Linked DNA regions of Coturnix japonica. The protein of the gene in region 2 interacts with the protein of the main gene of each other region in a pairwise test. Links are inferred from orthologs where the notes say so. Each region holds a gene or a part of one and is shown on either strand. Other genes may lie near its edges.

Region 1 (8,297 bases), on a different chromosome or scaffold from region 2:
TTTTTTAACTTAATATAGCTCTGACAAATGCGAAAACAGAGAGTATTTGTAAATGCGGCTCTGCACCAGCACTAGAACAAAGAGGCATTGCACTTAGTACTTACTGCCCTACGTTCAGGGAGAACTGCAAGGTGTCACACACAAGTAATTGGGACACAGATATGGATTGTGCCCAGGGAGAGGTAGGTGCTGGTGGGCATAAAACATTCACACCTTATTTATGCAGTAAATCATGATGTTACAAGAAGGAAGTCACAGACACCCTTGCCTTGTTGTCTAGTAGCTCCAAAGGGGCAAGGACAGCACTATTTAATTTTCAATATGTGACACAGCAATGACCATTAGCCACATTTCCTTTTGCCTTTGATTAGATGTCTATTCATCTTCCCAGTCCCTTTGTGCCTTCTATTTATTGCCCCCTCCCCACTTAACATTTTTGCTCATATTCTGGGCCACTGCTCATACAGCAGTAGTAGATTCTGCTTCATCACATGGCTCAGTCCTTTTATTTTCTGCTTCACCTTCCCAAGGGAAGGTTTAGCCTGAGAACCCTGAGCAAGCACCTTGGAAAATCTACCTTTCCATGCTCTTCTGCTGTTTCAAAAGAGCAGATAAGGGAAAGGTAGTCCAATCTGTAAAAGCAGCAAGTAATGCATGAGATAATCTGCTTTCAAAAACGTTATTTAGGGTTTTTGACAACGTTTCAGAAGCTGAGTGCCTAGACTTGCATGTTTGGATGTTCTAAAGTGATATACATTAATCAATTAAGACAAGTCATGTTGAAGAACACGTCCTCAGGTGATTCCACAGTAGACCAAATAGTTCTTAACACTAAAAGATGAGTACCACTGAAATAGTGGACAATGATTAGAGATGATCATTTAAAGTCAAAAATGGAGAAGCTGCACCTATTTTGGGGTGACTCGCCTCCTTACATTCTTTAAATTAATTACAGATATCACAAGAAAATATTACAGTTAGTATTTTTTATTTCTTCTATATTTAAAAAAAGCATCCAGGGCTGCAGTACTTTAAACGAGTTTTAATGTTTCAGATGAGCATTATAGCCTCTGAATTAACATCAACATTTGAGTAATCAGCTTAAACAAGACCTTCAAAGAATGCTCTCTGGTCAGACACCCTACTGTTTAAAATCCTAATGAATCACATTCCCCTCACTTCCCATAATTGTTTTTCTGTTCTTGTTTCCATCACCTTTTAAATACACAACCTACCCTTCTAAATTCAAACACTGCCCGGATTACGTTCTCCACTGGAGTCTCTGACAAAATCCTAAAGCATTCCAGGGCATATTGTTTGCTTCCACAGCAATACATACAGTTTCTGGCATGCAGTCAAGCACTTGGAAAAAAAGAGAGGTATCAGTGACACAATCCCAATTCAGGCATTTAGTGAGTACAATTTCATCATTCATACTGTAACCTTCAGGCATTTAGTAACAAAAACAAAAACCATTTAGCACAACAGTTAATGAAAAGTAAAAGGCTACCTGCCAAGCCAGGGAAAGTTTAGAAGTTTTCCGAAGCACTGCAAGCTGAAAATTATTTGGATGTTTTACATTGTGGAATTTCAGTGAACTCAGATTTATTGGTTATTCTTGCTAATTATTGGTCTTTTACCTTTGACACGTTTTATTTTGGTGTATTCATTATAAATATGCTTGGTATTGAAAATCTGCAGCATTTCAATGTTTGAAAAGTTCTGAAAGAATTGAAATTACTCCGGCTTCTTGTGTTCTTCAGTGTGGGAAAGCACCTTTCGCCTCTGATGTAGCATGTGAAAATACAGCTGGGGAAAGACTGAAAACAGACAAAAGAAGAAGTCAGGCTTCTGTCGTTGGTGTAAAACACACTCATATACTCAAGGTCACTGATTCTGTTAAAAGAAAATCTGCTTTTCCACTCTGCTCAAATCATCTTCTGGCTAAAAACAAGCAATATTGCCCTTAATCTTCAGGTACTGCTTAATTTTTGTTAGAACGATGCCATTTTTAATTCAAGGCAAAATACATTATTTCATAATTAACTTTGCACATACAAGAGAAACGACAAAGTTTCTTGACCTGCAGGCAGACAATAAACTGCGTTTTGGGGAGGAAAAAAAAGTACCATGAGAAACAGAAGTCACCAGAAAGAACGAAATTCACAGGTTTGTTTCATATCTTATGATTCCAGTGTCTCTTTTTCAGTATTTAAAAAAAACTGGTGGCCATTGCATCCCTATCCTCCCTCCAAAGCTTCTTTCCTCCTATTTCTAAGGTTACATTACACAGTATGTTTTCAGAAGAGTGAAACAGGAGATGCAAAACAGCAAAAGCTTCCATCTTTGTGAGCAACGTGAAGATAAAATAAGGTCAATACCAACAGTTACACTCGCCCGTGTTAAGTAGTGAATACATCTGTCCGGAAACACAGAAGTATACAGAGCCATGTGGTTTCTTTTTGAAGTTTAAATATTTGGTATCTATTATACACAAAGAATTGAATGATATCTGGCAAGATGTTTATTTGACAGCCAAGAACTAACTTTGATACTTTAAGCCAGATCAATGGTAAGATGCAACTATCAAGAATATTAATCTTAAATTTTAACAGTGGATTTAAAACTTGCTTTCTTCATGATGTTAACCTTCCCAAAATTCCTAAGACCTGCAGCGGGTTCAGAAGACAAGCTTCCTGCATAGCTTGCTTTTATGAATAACTGCAATGATTGCTGCTTTTCTTGAATCTCTGGAACAATACAGGAATATCCGCCTGTGAAAAGGTACCTATGATTTCTCAAGTCCACACAGCCAGTTCTCAGAAGCAAGATACCAAATCACAATAATAAATAATAATAATTTTTAAAAAGGCTGAATTTAAGTTACACAACCAGCAAAGGATAATGAGTTACAAAATATCTGAAAGACTGCAATTTTAATGGAGAAACAGGGCTGAAATTATTTGAGTTCAATGTACTTCTCTCTCATGTGGTTTGTCAGTTGGGAGCAAGCAATCTCATAAGAAGTAATTAATACCTGTGTTTATTAGGGGAGGAACAAAAGATATTGCTCTGGCTCCTTGGAGTTAGTAATATCAGTGTTTCTGGAGGATAGCTACATGTGTATAAAAAGAATTCTTAGGAGCAGCAGGAAGAAGTCACAAATTTTGATGTCCAAAATAGTTCACAGAAAGAAGAAGCGCTTATAGACAGCCACAGTACTGAAATTAAAACCTTAGAATACCATTTGTCACTCAGCATAAGTAACAACGTTCATAAAAACACAGCTACAGAGATAGTGAGCATCAGTGCCACTGCATTATTTTGCACATTAAACCTCCATCTGCAAATCTAAATTGGCTGAAGACCTACACGCTCTTAATCACTGTTTCTAAGCAGCAAAGCCAAACCTTCACCTGTAAAAACATTCACCAAAGACAGTATCAACTCAAGTTAATTCAACAGAAATGCATCCCTGAACCACATTTTAAGAAACTTCTTTAAATCTTGCTCTCCTGAAGTCTGTAAGTGGGAACAAAATGAAGATGTCAATGTTTGCTGAGCACTACGGTTATTTTATGTATCAAATGTAAGAGAAAAAAAAAACAACACATATTACTATATTATAATCATTGCTAGGAAGCAACCCCTGCAGTTTTAACTCTGACTTCTTTCTTTAAATAATCTTCACAATGAATTTTGTAAAATGAGTTGTGTAGATGCTAATCCCACAATTGTTAGCTTTTCCCGACACTGCTTTTAATATTAAAGAACAAACAAACTTGTACTTACGTGGAATGTAAGAGATCATAACCAGGATCAGGAATGTGTAATAGTCAAAAGAAAAGTTGTACTTATTAGGTAAACTAATGGAATACAAGCCAGACTGCCTGACGTAGGGTAGTGCAGCATATATTGTGAGTAATTCCCCAGTGACTCCCATTGGGTACAATATTATAAACAAAGTATACCTAGAACAAAACATTTAAGAAAAGGATTAAAAGTTGTGACAAAGTACATAAGTACAGCTATGGATGTTCAACTTCTAGACCCTTAACTTTGATTTGAGCACGGCAGTATACGAACATCAATGCAAGACAAAATATTGACATCAACAACCAGTTCTGAATTATTAAAAGGACCATCTTTGAGAATCTGAATGGTATCTTTAAAACAATTCCCGCACCCCCACACTTCATTACTTCGATGTCCAAACTCTGTACTCGAGGACATCAAACTCCTTAGTTGAGAACATATCATTAAAATAGGGCCAGTCAGTATTAATTAGCGAGCTCAACTGTTTCAGGTACAACCCTCAGATTCAATGGTTATTGGTAGACATTAGTTTACTTGCCATAATCACTTCATAAACAGTACTGAGTTCTAATAAAGTACTTTCAGCTAACATTTAATACATTTCAAATCCAGAAATCTTTGGAAGGAATCTAGGAAGTCACTTTCACTAACAGCACAATTACACTGAGACAGAACATAACTTGCTCTGCTGCAACTACATTACAGGAGAAATACCTCCATCAAAACAGTGCTTCAAGGCCATTATTATTATTATTATTTTTAATTGCCACCTACCTGGCCCATTTAATGAGATAAGGGAGATGGTTTAACAAGCTAAAGGTGTAAAAAGAGTAACGGATTATCTCTGTGATTGTCCAGGCCACTACAAACAACAGGACACTGTCTTCAGTTTGTACCTGCAAGGAAGAAGCAAAAGGTTAAATATGAACACACGTGTTACTAATTATTCACCAGACTTAAACACCCTGAAGTAAGTCATTCCCATGGGCTGCTTTACTGCATCAGTTTAGAAAACAGACTCTAGGAAAAAGCTTAAAAGCCACATTAGTAATGACAGCAAAAAAATCTCTTGTCATGCTCCATATTTTTCTAGTCGGCTTAAGAATAGCTCTGCTGATCAGATACTGAGAAAAGCTTGTAACTTGTCCTTTCCACTCCTATACAGTACCAAGTTCTGCTTCAGTCCTGTGATTGCTTTCTCGCACAGGAAGAGCACAGGATACTAGCATTCAACATCTGGTTTAGATTTTACACTCTGATCCTACCAAGTGCTATTTCTTGAGGAAAAGGGAAACAGTTTTCCTCACTCCCTTCAAGTGAGTAACTGGCTCTTAATTCTGAGCAGCAACAAGGCAGCAATCAGTAGGTCACAGGTTGAGAGCAGCAAAGCACCATTAGCTCAGGCTGCCTCACTTCAGATAAGCTTGACAACTACCTGCTGCATCCTTCCCTGCTCCTTCTCCCCACTTACTGCATGGAACATTGTTCCTCTAAATGTTACTGCTAATGCTCAAGGCACCACTTTGTTTCACTGCTTTACCCTCCTTAGAGCCTGAACTGAAAATGCACATTACAAAAACAGTTTCTACTCCCCTCATGTTTTGAAGATTAACCTTCAAAAGTGTGTATTTAAAAATGAACCATTAGATTTGGGAGCATAATTATGAGTTTCAGATGGGTAGCAGATATGAGGAGTTATACAGGGCCACATACCTGCACAATAAACTCCAGAGAGAGAACACAATTTCTTATGCAGCAACCTCCCCACCCAACAGAAGCACGATGTGAATTCTCAGCTGTCTGAGCACCTTCAGCCCAAATTCTGTAGACCGTGGGAACAAAAGAGCTCAACTACAAGGAGCTGCATTTACTTTTTTCCTCCAACTCTTGAAAAAAGGGAAAAGGAAGTCGGTAGGTGTGGGTGGTACACCCTATTCATCTTGGGCAGAGTACATGTACAAACAAAGGAACAAGAAAATATACGGGCAAGCAGAAACCTTTTAATAGGAAGGGACTGATCATATGCTTGTGTATAAAGAAGTTCACAAGGATTACTCATTAAAAAACCCCTTTGTTACAGAGACCACAGAATCCAAGAATTGTATAAAAATGTTGGGAATCCTGTGAAGTACAATTACTGTTATTCTATATTCTGCTTTGTACAACAATTAAAGTCACCCTCGTGACATTTTGCACAAAACACACCTCATCCTTTTTCACTTGAAACTGAAAATTTCCTTATATATTAGTCTACCTTAACAAGGCCATAAAAGAGCAATATCCAAAACCCATTTGAAGATTTTCAGAGAAGAAACCACATTTATTTTACACACTGCTTAAGTAACTAGAAAAGGATCTTAACTGTGCTTGTGGTCTGCTTTATAAAGAAGACTTAGTTCTCAGCCTGGAAGTCAGCATCACTTCACAGATGATGCTGTTCCCAAGGAGCATCAACCCTCACAACCACTCCAGAGCTGCATCTTCCGGTCAGCTCAGGACTAGCAGCTTAGTGAGCAAGCTAAACTTATGCATCCCAGACTTCAACCTGTCCTTCGAAACTCCGTTTCTTTTCCTAACTTTGGAAATCAATAGAACCAACAAGTGGAAATTTGTAGCTTGAAGGAGCACCCAAAGAACCAAGAACAAGAAACTGTTAGGCCAGCAGTGACCGATGCACATAGGAGGACAGAGAACTGAAACTGTAACTGCCAGATGATTGCAGGACTGGTAACACCACTTTCTCAAGTGTAGTCTTTTCTATCAGCCTTAGTGTTGGAACCCTGATTGGAAACTACTGAAACTGCTCACACCATCAACAACAAAAGGGTCACTTAGACTGTGTCTTACAATTTGTGTCCCTGCTTAAAGAAGGAGGAACGTTGGAGACCGGTAGTTTTGTGCAAGAGTGATCTATGAACTTTTCAAACACTCTTTTATAACGGGGAGCAAAAGACTACCGTGAACTTTAGCATCACATTTTAACCAAATTCCACAGCTCATAATTAAAAAGTACATTTCTTACACACTAATGGATCTGTCAAAAATCTGTCACTATTAGAGCTTTTCTTTGAGGACTGACAATGTCACAATACTTTAGATAAAGATGTTTGAGATGTACATTATCAAACTCCTGGGAACTGATTTACAAAACAGTCCCTCGAGAGTCTTATTCATTGAGGCACTGCTAATGCTGCATTTGTATCATTCCTCTTCCAACCTCTGTGTACGGAGGAGAATACAGCCAATAAACAGCAGATCCTTTTTAAACCACAAATCCCAGTACTGCCCTCAGAACCCAATTTTTCTTCCTCTATCTTTTCATTCCAGTCTTTGGAAGTGGTGTTAGAAAAAGTCAAAGCATGTTTTATACTTTGTATACACCTTATTTGTCCAGCAGCCTTAATTAGGGTGAATTATACCACGGGCATAATTTTTGGCATGTGTTTCCATTTATCATCCAGGGGGTCTTGCACATATTCCTGCTTGCCTTCATGACTACAGATAACAAAAAGTCTTGAAATACAAGAGAATTTATAGCCTTTTAAGGTGCAAAATTGAGATTCCAAATTGGGAATCAACAAAATAAGGTCTAAGATGCTTTTACTGCTCTTCTTACGTACAAAAAGTTACAGACAAGATTTGAAAGGTATAAGGTATCATGAACGTAGAAATATGGAGAGACCTACAGAATTGAGAGTAACAGTCTGACAAATAGCTTAGTGATCATTGCAGCTAAATAGACCATAAAACAGAAAGGTAAAAACCAGCAGCACTGCGCAACAGAGATGCTGAAACGCATCTTTCTCCAGTCCACAGCTTGGCTTTTGTGGAATATCAGTTAAAAAACACTGCAGGTATAAAGGAGGTATATACAGGAGGTATAAAGGGCCTGACAGACATTTGTGTTGTACAGAATTACTCAAACTTTACACAGATGTAAAGCAGTGATAAATTAGGTCTGTCAGCTACACTCACCAACCAATTTGCTATTCAGAACTTCCCAGTGTGTGATTCTTAATTAGAACACTCTTCAATCTTAAGTGTAAGTATCCTTTACTGCTGATGGAAGATGGCAAGTTTGCAGATGTTGTTGTCTTAATTATGTGCTCAATGAGCTGTACATGTCTTTCTCACACTGTGTTTTTTGATTGTGTTCTAGAAAGGTTCCTCTAAGTGTATACAATGCTACCTTTGTAACACTATCTTTAAATCACAGCTAGCACCTTTTCTAATTAGCTGTCAGAATCAGCTGCAACACTGAACTCCACAAAGGCCTTCTGTGATGGCACCAGATGATCTTACTGTTCACATCAACTCAAAAAGACAACTTGGAACTGAAAGGCACCTTCTGTTTTCCTCTCCCTATTTTCTTTCAGCCCTTCACTCCTCATTCTCTTCCCTCCTTTGCAGAAGAATCAGTAAAATTCACCAAACCAATTCCTTTCCAATACACTGACAAAATGCTATTTTCTGGAGTACAG
Region 2 (8,297 bases):
GATGTGGGCTTGATGTAAACCTCTCATCCAGTCCATACACAAAAGGCATGCGGAAATAAAACAGAAAATAGATGAACAATGGACCTGTATATTCTATCAAAAATACCTGCAAAAAGAGAGAAAATAATTAGACAGCTGAATTAGATGGTAGTTCTGCTTTGGTTTCTTTGTAATAAGTAATGCAGTGGGACAAATACTTCCACTGACCCAGAATGGCATTTAGAGATGCACAGGGAGAATAGCGGGATTGGGCTTAGGCTATGAAATCAGTAGACATGCACATAAATGTTTTGCAATGCATTTGCCTCAACTGCATACAAACAGCCATTGCTAATGCAGCTGACACAGCATGGGAATGTAAAGGTATTCATGGTAGCCCAGAGATCATGATAAATGAGCATGCAGGTTACACTTATGCAGCTCTCACCCTCCTCTTGCCCTCAAAACCTATTTTTTTTACTTATTCTTGGTTAAAATGAAATGAAGAATTTATCTTGAAATATATGTGCTTTATTTTTCATTAATGAATTTCATTTAAAATAGAAACACAATTTGCAAGTGTTCAGATGACCCCATGCGTATGAGCAGTTAGCACATCAGATATTCCAGAAAACAATTCATTCTGTGCTCAAATAATCCTTCATTTGGAAAAATAAAACAACTACCACCAAGAACAAAGTAACAACTAGAGGAAACTAAATAAGCTATTATCTAACTTAATTTCATTTCAGATGGGAGTGTATTTCTCATGAGCATCACTTTATATTGAGAATGACTTTGGGCTAAGTATTAACAGTTGAATTTTCCACTTTTCTGACTGAGGAAGTTACGTCAGCACCTCATTTTGGTTTTTTTTAGAGAAAAAAAGGAAAGCTGGTTGTTCAAAAAAGCACAAAATATGTCACATTTCTCCTGTGTTTAGTTATTCTGACTGGGAGAAAAGTTAAACAACTTTTTGTATCAACTTCTGTAACAGAATCAGCATTTTCTGTGTCAAAGGTAGGATTTGATTGCCTTTTTGATTTGATTTCTATCAAAGCATTTCTTGGCTTACATTTGAATGAAGTAGATTGAAGGAGAGGGAGAGCAAAAGGTAAAAGAAGAATAATGGATTGGAAGAAGTCTGGTGTGTGATATTTTGGTGTATATTCAAGTATGTTTGTCTTGGAATCTATGCTGTCATTCATTTTGCTCGTCTTACTGATTAGTGGTTTGTGCATCAGCTGCCTTACTTATCAGCATAGCAGCCAAAGAACTGATCTAAAGATTCAGACTTGTAGATTTTTATTATTTTTTAATTTTTTTTTTTTTGCCTCCTATGAATCTATTTATCAATGAGACAATATTTTATTAATATTTCATAGGTAAGAAATAGTAAACGTGTCTTTAAGTTACTGGGTACCTTTTTCCTTCATGCTATGCTGTTTCATTAGAAGTCATTCTAATATGTGCACTATGGACTTTCTGAAGGACCTTCAAGAGTCACTGATCACCTCGTATAAACATGAATGTAGGGTCACCTGCTGAGGGTGTTGTGATGGGTCTTGTCTTTAAGTTGAGAGAGTAAACATGAGGTCTTCATGGATTACAGAATGATCAGCTGTCATTAGCCTGGCATTAGCATCCTGGGACACAGCCATGAACAACTAATTTTACTTTCATGAATTTTCCCACTGAGGTCAGCTGAGTCATTGACAGGTAAGTTTTTCAGATGCCTCTTCACAGGACAAACTTGGGAGTTTAATCCTGATCTCTGCCAGGAGAGATGCACAGGAATTTAGATATGTAGTTCCCCGTGATTTTGCATTAGACATGTAAACATATCTGAGAACCTGTACCTTAGTTCAGCATGGCCAGACTAACCTGTAGCAAGTTTTCCTCTGCTGCTCTCCTAGGGAACTAGACATTCAAAATGTTTTCTTGCTGCTTTCCCTGGATAAAATGAACTGAAGCAAATGAGGGTTCATTGCCTGCATCCACTGTCAGAGCAGGCATCATGCAGAAATATTGGAGTGAGACAAAAAGTGATGTAAAGATTAATTATGGAGAAACAGCCATCAAATTGGCTCAGATTTGAAGCATAGCTCACCGTAGTCCATCCTATCTGTGGCCCTAAATCTTTAAAGTATAAAGTAGCAGTTGTGCCAACAGGGAGGTGCTGCAGGATTTCCTCATTCCTCAGGGACTTTCCTTCTGAGAAGGAAAGAGGTAATTACATCTCAGTGAAATTCAAATCAACTACACTAGCAAACTAGCTCCATTTGTACTTTTAAAAGTCTCTGAGATTCTTTGACCTGACATAAGTTTATTGCAATCTAAGTTTAAAAAATTCTAAGGAAGTTTACGCTTAATTTTGAATTCCCCCTGGGATAACATATAGATCCAGGTCTTCTATTCACACCGAGACAGAAGAATTCCCAGTCCTGTCTGTCTGCCTAGTCTGGTAGACCTGCTTCATCACTGCTACAGCAGAATTTGCTGATGGGACACTACCCTTTAGTATAGTTCACTGACCTAGTCAGCTTCACCATATCTCTCTCTTGCCTGCTTCTCATTGCTCATCAATAGACACAAAGATGAGATAAGCTGTAAAGGGAAGGCCTTCCTTCAGAGGTTTTTACTACCTGATTTTGGTTGTTTGTTTTTTTTTCCAAACAACCAGCCAAGAGATGATTCCACAGGAACTAAGCTGGAGCTCAAGTTTTTTAATGTCTGGATTTGGAGGAATCTGAAAAGGTAGATCTTTGAAAAAGGAAATAAGGCACTTATATACCTGTTTTCCACGGACAGATTCTAAATGATGAACTAATTATCACTAGCATAATTTTAAAGGGAATATATAAATCAAATTAAGCTTAATAGAAGCAGAAGAACAAAGTGATACATTTTGTACTGAACGCTAAGATGATTTAATGTAATTTGTCAATTAGACTATCTTTTGTGCACCCAAGCCATGTACTACAAGGCTTCCAGCAGTGATACCTGCAGCTACATTAATCCAGTCAACCACCTGGCATCAAGATTTGTCAGCAAATTCGTGGCAATATGTTTTGTATTTGCTTACCTCAAAGGAATTTTAATTCCTGCCTGAGAGCAGAGGATTATATGAATTAATATCTCCTTAGTGCTCCCAGTTTAGAGTCTCTATGGGAATCATTCCATTGCAGATAAGGGAAATTATTGTCTAAAATCTGTGCTGCGTGTCTTTAAAGCAAAGGTGATCAGTAGTTAGAAAATGCATTGGAACAATATGCAGACTCCTGAGTTAATTACCAAGTGCCAAACACATGGATGAACCTCTTTTCAATACTTCAAAGGAATTAGATTTTTTTTTTTGGAGCCTTTTCAGCCTTTACAGTGCTAAGTAACATAGCTGGAAACTCATTTTTAACAGCTAATACCTATGCAAAGTCCACCTTCCATGTGAGACCACTGCTTAGAGCTTTATGACTCTAGTCTTTACAGGTACTTACTTGGATCAAGCTTTATTGACTGTCTTGCTGGATACCACTGAGGATCTGTAAAACCATGAAGAACTGTGTGATATACAATGTTTGTTTTAGATTGTCCAGTTACAATGAATGACACACAATACAGTGAGATTTATTTGAAGATACTTAGGAATATTAATTTAATATGAACATCCACAACAAACTGTGCAGCAGGAAAAATACAAAGGTGTATCAGGCTAGTACTGAAATCTCACTGTGATCACGTTCATGTGCAAGTTACCTCACATTATCATGAAATCATAGAATGGCTTGGGTTGGAAGAGACTGTAAAGATCATCTCATTCCAAACCCTACTGTGTGTATGCATCATGTTTCATCTTATATAATTTTCTCCTGTTTCCATACTGGATATTCTGATGTAACACAAACTATTGCAAAAGTTATACTCACATAATTTATGGAACATTGATCTTATCTCCCTAATTGTAGCATTTGGTTCCACCTAGGCAAAAAAGAACATATATACATATATGTATATAAGATGCATATTTATGAAGACAGCTATTAGGATTGGTATGAACAATTCAAAACACTTCTTACAGGAAAAGCGGAGGACCTGATTTGTGGCATCTGTTTCAGAGGCAGCTACTGTGGCAGTACTCAAAGTGTTACTACAGCAGCAGTGAGAGTTTGAGGGCTTCTAAATGAGAAAGGGACAACTGGCACCATCTTACAGAAGCAAGTGAAATTGTGTTCTTTGCACAAGAGCTCCTTTGTGAAGAGGTATGAAGCATATGAAGCATGAATAGTTATTGTCTCCTTAATACCAAAGAAGGGCTATCAGAAAACTTTTCACAAACATTAACTTTGCTTTAAAAAGAGCTAGCAATTTTTAAATAGTCACCTAAAGTTTTGGGCAGATTTTTATTTTACCTTATCTAGGAAGCATAATTGTTCCTTTGTCTTCCAGTCAAGGATTTCCACCTGATAGGATACAAAACAATAATCATTAACTACTGACTGCATAATATCTAAACTTTTAGTTGACGATCAAATTCACAATCACTATTCAGAATGAGACACCATTTTTCTCCGTTCTATGTGTTAGAAAAAATTCTGATGTGCTCAAGAACAGTTTTAATCACAGCGAGGTTCTCAAAGAACTCAATTTGTGAACAAAAGTAACACTCTTGCCAAATAAATTGTCTTCCTGGATAAATTCAGAAGCAGCAGTAGCTAATTAACTGACCAAAATATGCATATTCATATGCATATTCATGTTATCTTAAGCTAACACAAAAGGAACAAATGAAGGAAAGAGAAGTTTCACGCAAATCATTAAGAAATCAGTTTGTCTTCAGAACTGTTCTGATTTGTAAATCTAGAAAGACCATTTGAGAATGCACACATATATGCATGGAAGCAAATACTGTGAATATGTGAATTTTAATCAACAGCTGAGCAGGAAGGTTCTGAGATGATTCAAAGTTCCATTGCAACAGGCTCTTAAAATACACTGGTTGTGTTTTAATTCCATTTGTTTTCATCAAACACCCAGTAATGGAACTCTGTGGTACAGCTAAGATTGAAGAATAAAAGCTTATCCGTCACACTAAATGACTGTGACCGTCATTCCCCAGTTTGGGTTTTGTTCTTTGGTTTTGTTTATTTTTACAATAAATGTCTACCATTAATTACATTTGGTATTAACTGACCAAGAGGACAGATTAACAGTAGACTTTAAACATGATTCCTGACTAAAAGTCGGAGTCACAGTCCAAAATCTTTCTAACAGTTTCTTTGAAGAGATCACTCTGAGTATCTTATTTCCTCCTTTTACTTGTCCCAAATTGTTCTCTCTCTGTTAGTGTAGCAATGAAGCACTTCAGCTCCAGACAGAAGTATCAGATCTGATCCCCACAAGGGATACTAATGCGGTAGTATTTTCCACCTGTGCACTATAAGCCCTAAAGGAGGTGCTGAGGGAGGTAAGCACTTTTCCTCCTTTGCAATTCATGAAGAATCTATGCCATGTTATTGGGGTGTTATGTATTTCTCTCTTTGTTGTTGTGGTTTTTTTAATGTATATTTGAAACAATGTAAATTATCAGTGTTACTGCCTCTGTGGGAGATCTCAGTGGGAAAGCAAATGAAGTGAATTGTGTTACTCTGCAGTACTGACAGCATTCTGACTCTCACAGCCCACCAAACAGGGACCTTGGGGGTTTTAGATCAGTTTTTGTCCCTTGTAATGCTGAGTTTTATTGCTCAAATGCTACAAGGTTTATTGAAACCTTTGGTGTATCTCAGTTTTTGTATCAAAGAACACCATTGGGCAGCCCTACTAACTACAGCAATGATTAGTTTAGAAGCCTCCTCCTCATTTCATACCCACGGACAGCATGTGCATATTGGATTGGAATCTCTCTCCCCATGCAGTTTTATTCTATGACTTTCAGTGTCCATGTTAGAGAAGTCCTCTCCAGGCCAATTACAGAGCAGTCTGGCCATCTTTCTGCTCTTCTGTTTTGTTTACTCTCATGTTGCACAAGGTCAGACAGAAAATTACAAGACATTTTCTTTTGCTCTGTGTTCTTCTTGGGGGCATTTGGGCAGAAATTCTGCTATTTCTGTGAACCACTGGAATCAGTATGGAAAAAAATAAAACAAATCATCCAGGATCTTCTGTATCCCTATTTGGTTTGATGGCAAGATGTCTCTTTGGAGTGCCAAACTGGCATACCTTCCTGTATCAGCCCATTTCTTCAAAAACATAATAGGAGCCTCTATGATGCATCCAAACTTATTTGAAGGTGCAGTGTCAGTGATGAGAAGCAATGGACAACAGCTGCATTGTGGGAAAATCCAGTCAGATACAAAGAAAATGCCCCAATATTTGACCAAGTAGCCTAGAGGCAATGTAGAATCTCTGTCTTTGGACGTGTTTAAAACTGGGCTGGACAAGACCCAGTGCAGTTAGATCTAGTTGCATCTGCTTTGAGCAACAGCTGGCCTACACAACTTCCAGAAGTCCTTTGCAACCTCTGTTATTCAATGATGAGGAATTTTTGGACAGTCCTTCCTGAACTTGAAATATTTTGGTTACTATCAGTTACTTTTAGGATCTAAGGAAATATCATACATGTTTTCCTCTTTCAGAAAGAGGAACACAAGAATACAGCTGTAGATTCCATTGCAGCCTGCATAAATTTGTATGACAACAGAGTGAAAGCAAAGGTAACCATTTCCTTTAACCATCATGCCTCTTATCTGTGACAAAATGTCCTCACAGTAGTCAGCTGTTCCCTGCATAACAGACAGAAAAAACTGATGCAAAGTATGAAATGTTATCTTTTCTGAACATAATGGCCAGCCACATGAACCTAGATAGCACTGAACACAGTGTTTCCAGCCTTCGGGCACAGCACCAAGTCAGTTAATGTATTGGTTGGCAACAGTCTTTAGATACCCAGCAATCTGTTCTTGGAACACTAACTGATGTGTACCAGCCCTTTTAAACATAAATTTATGGCTCAGAGAATTTTAATTTTGGAGCATCCTTAAGCGTTTAGAAGAACAGGACACAGACAGCCCATTTGCACTAGTGTGGTGTGACTTGCAGATCACGTATTTGGTGAATTTTTGAAGGCATTTTAACTTACCACTTCTCTAAAACTATTTTGAATAGAATTTAATCAATAGGCAGATTTGTGCAAGATACCTGTTAGTTAAAACACTTCTGGAAGTGACTACAAGGACAGACCTTCAATGTTTAGAAGGCAAATTTGTTCTCATGAATATGGAGCAAATATTGATAGTGTCTTAAAGGGCAGAGAAAAAATCTGAAATATTGTTTAGAACGGGTCAAGATCAAAGTAATCAACTGATGATGGAAGCCAAGAAAACTACTTTCAAGCGTTAGACTTATATTCAGAGGCTTAGAAAGTTTATCCATAGAGGGGAAATGGTTGAGCAAACTGTTTGATTTTTATTTTTTTTCAGATGGTGTCTCTTTAATAGGATTATAAAAATACAATAAATCAAATTCTCCCAGCTTCAAGCCTGTTTGATGCTTAAGCATCAACAGATATTCAAAAGTGATGTGGTAACTTTGAGGAAATACTGACACATCATGTTTCTGTTTGTTGGAAGCTTTATTTGCAGTCATTTGTACTCAGCAGTTTCAGTAAACTTCAAACTCCAGCTTAGAGTGATTTTCTGAACACCAACATAAGCAGATGTTATATTGGTTTAGTTTTACATTAGAAAAAAAAAAAAAAATACAACAACCTCAAACTGCTTGTTTTATAGCCTAGGAACTCAGCAGCCCAAGAGAAAGCTATGCAAAATGGATTGATTATCCCTGAACTATTTCATTGTTATCTATGGAAAGCTATTATTCTGTCAGTAGTCCAACTACATAAAGCACAACCTCTCTGAAGAGCTGATATTTCATGAAACTAGCATATTATTACTATTTCACCTAGTTTTAAAAAGGAGATGCAGTGATACTTGGACAGTTAAATTTCTCTTTCATAAAACAGATGTCTCACATGCACAGGTTCACAAAACACACACCAGGTGTTTTACTCCTCAGCCTCCAAAATTCTGCTCCTACATATGCCCATGAGAACCATCATCTGGAGTGTGCTGAAACTCAGTATCTTTTCATTTCTTCCACCTGCTTCAGACTTGTTAGCTAGGCATGTTTGCATGACAATCCTTAAGGACCTTCATCCAGTAGCATCTTCATTCCAAGGTCAGCACAAAGCACAGCATTTAAATTACTTCTGAATGAAACTTCATGCTTTATATCTAATGGTTATACACACTTCCAAGAAGTGA

Evidence for each region.
Region 1: the proteins of very-long-chain enoyl-CoA reductase-like (region 2) and HACD2 interact in binary tests that used the Homo sapiens proteins (3 or more experiments, as listed by UniProt). The link is inferred for Coturnix japonica from reciprocal best matches to the Homo sapiens genes TECR and HACD2.

Annotation. Positions count from the first base shown.
Region 1 is NC_029522.1:19,844,875-19,853,171, reverse strand, and holds part of HACD2 (very-long-chain (3R)-3-hydroxyacyl-CoA dehydratase 2), read right to left. Parts: intron 4,713-8,297; coding exon 4,591-4,712; intron 3,972-4,590; coding exon 3,793-3,971; intron 1,821-3,792; coding exon 1,738-1,820; 3' UTR 1-1,737. UniProt on the Homo sapiens protein: Catalyzes the third of the very long-chain fatty acids (VLCFA) elongation four-step cycle (condensation, reduction, dehydration, and reduction).
Region 2 is NC_029523.1:11,907,229-11,915,525, forward strand, and holds part of very-long-chain enoyl-CoA reductase-like, read right to left. Parts: intron 4,437-8,297; coding exon 4,386-4,436; intron 3,955-4,385; coding exon 3,903-3,954; intron 3,519-3,902; coding exon 3,474-3,518; intron 2,194-3,473; coding exon 2,090-2,193; intron 107-2,089; coding exon 1-106. UniProt on the Homo sapiens protein: Involved in both the production of very long-chain fatty acids for sphingolipid synthesis and the degradation of the sphingosine moiety in sphingolipids through the sphingosine 1-phosphate metabolic pathway.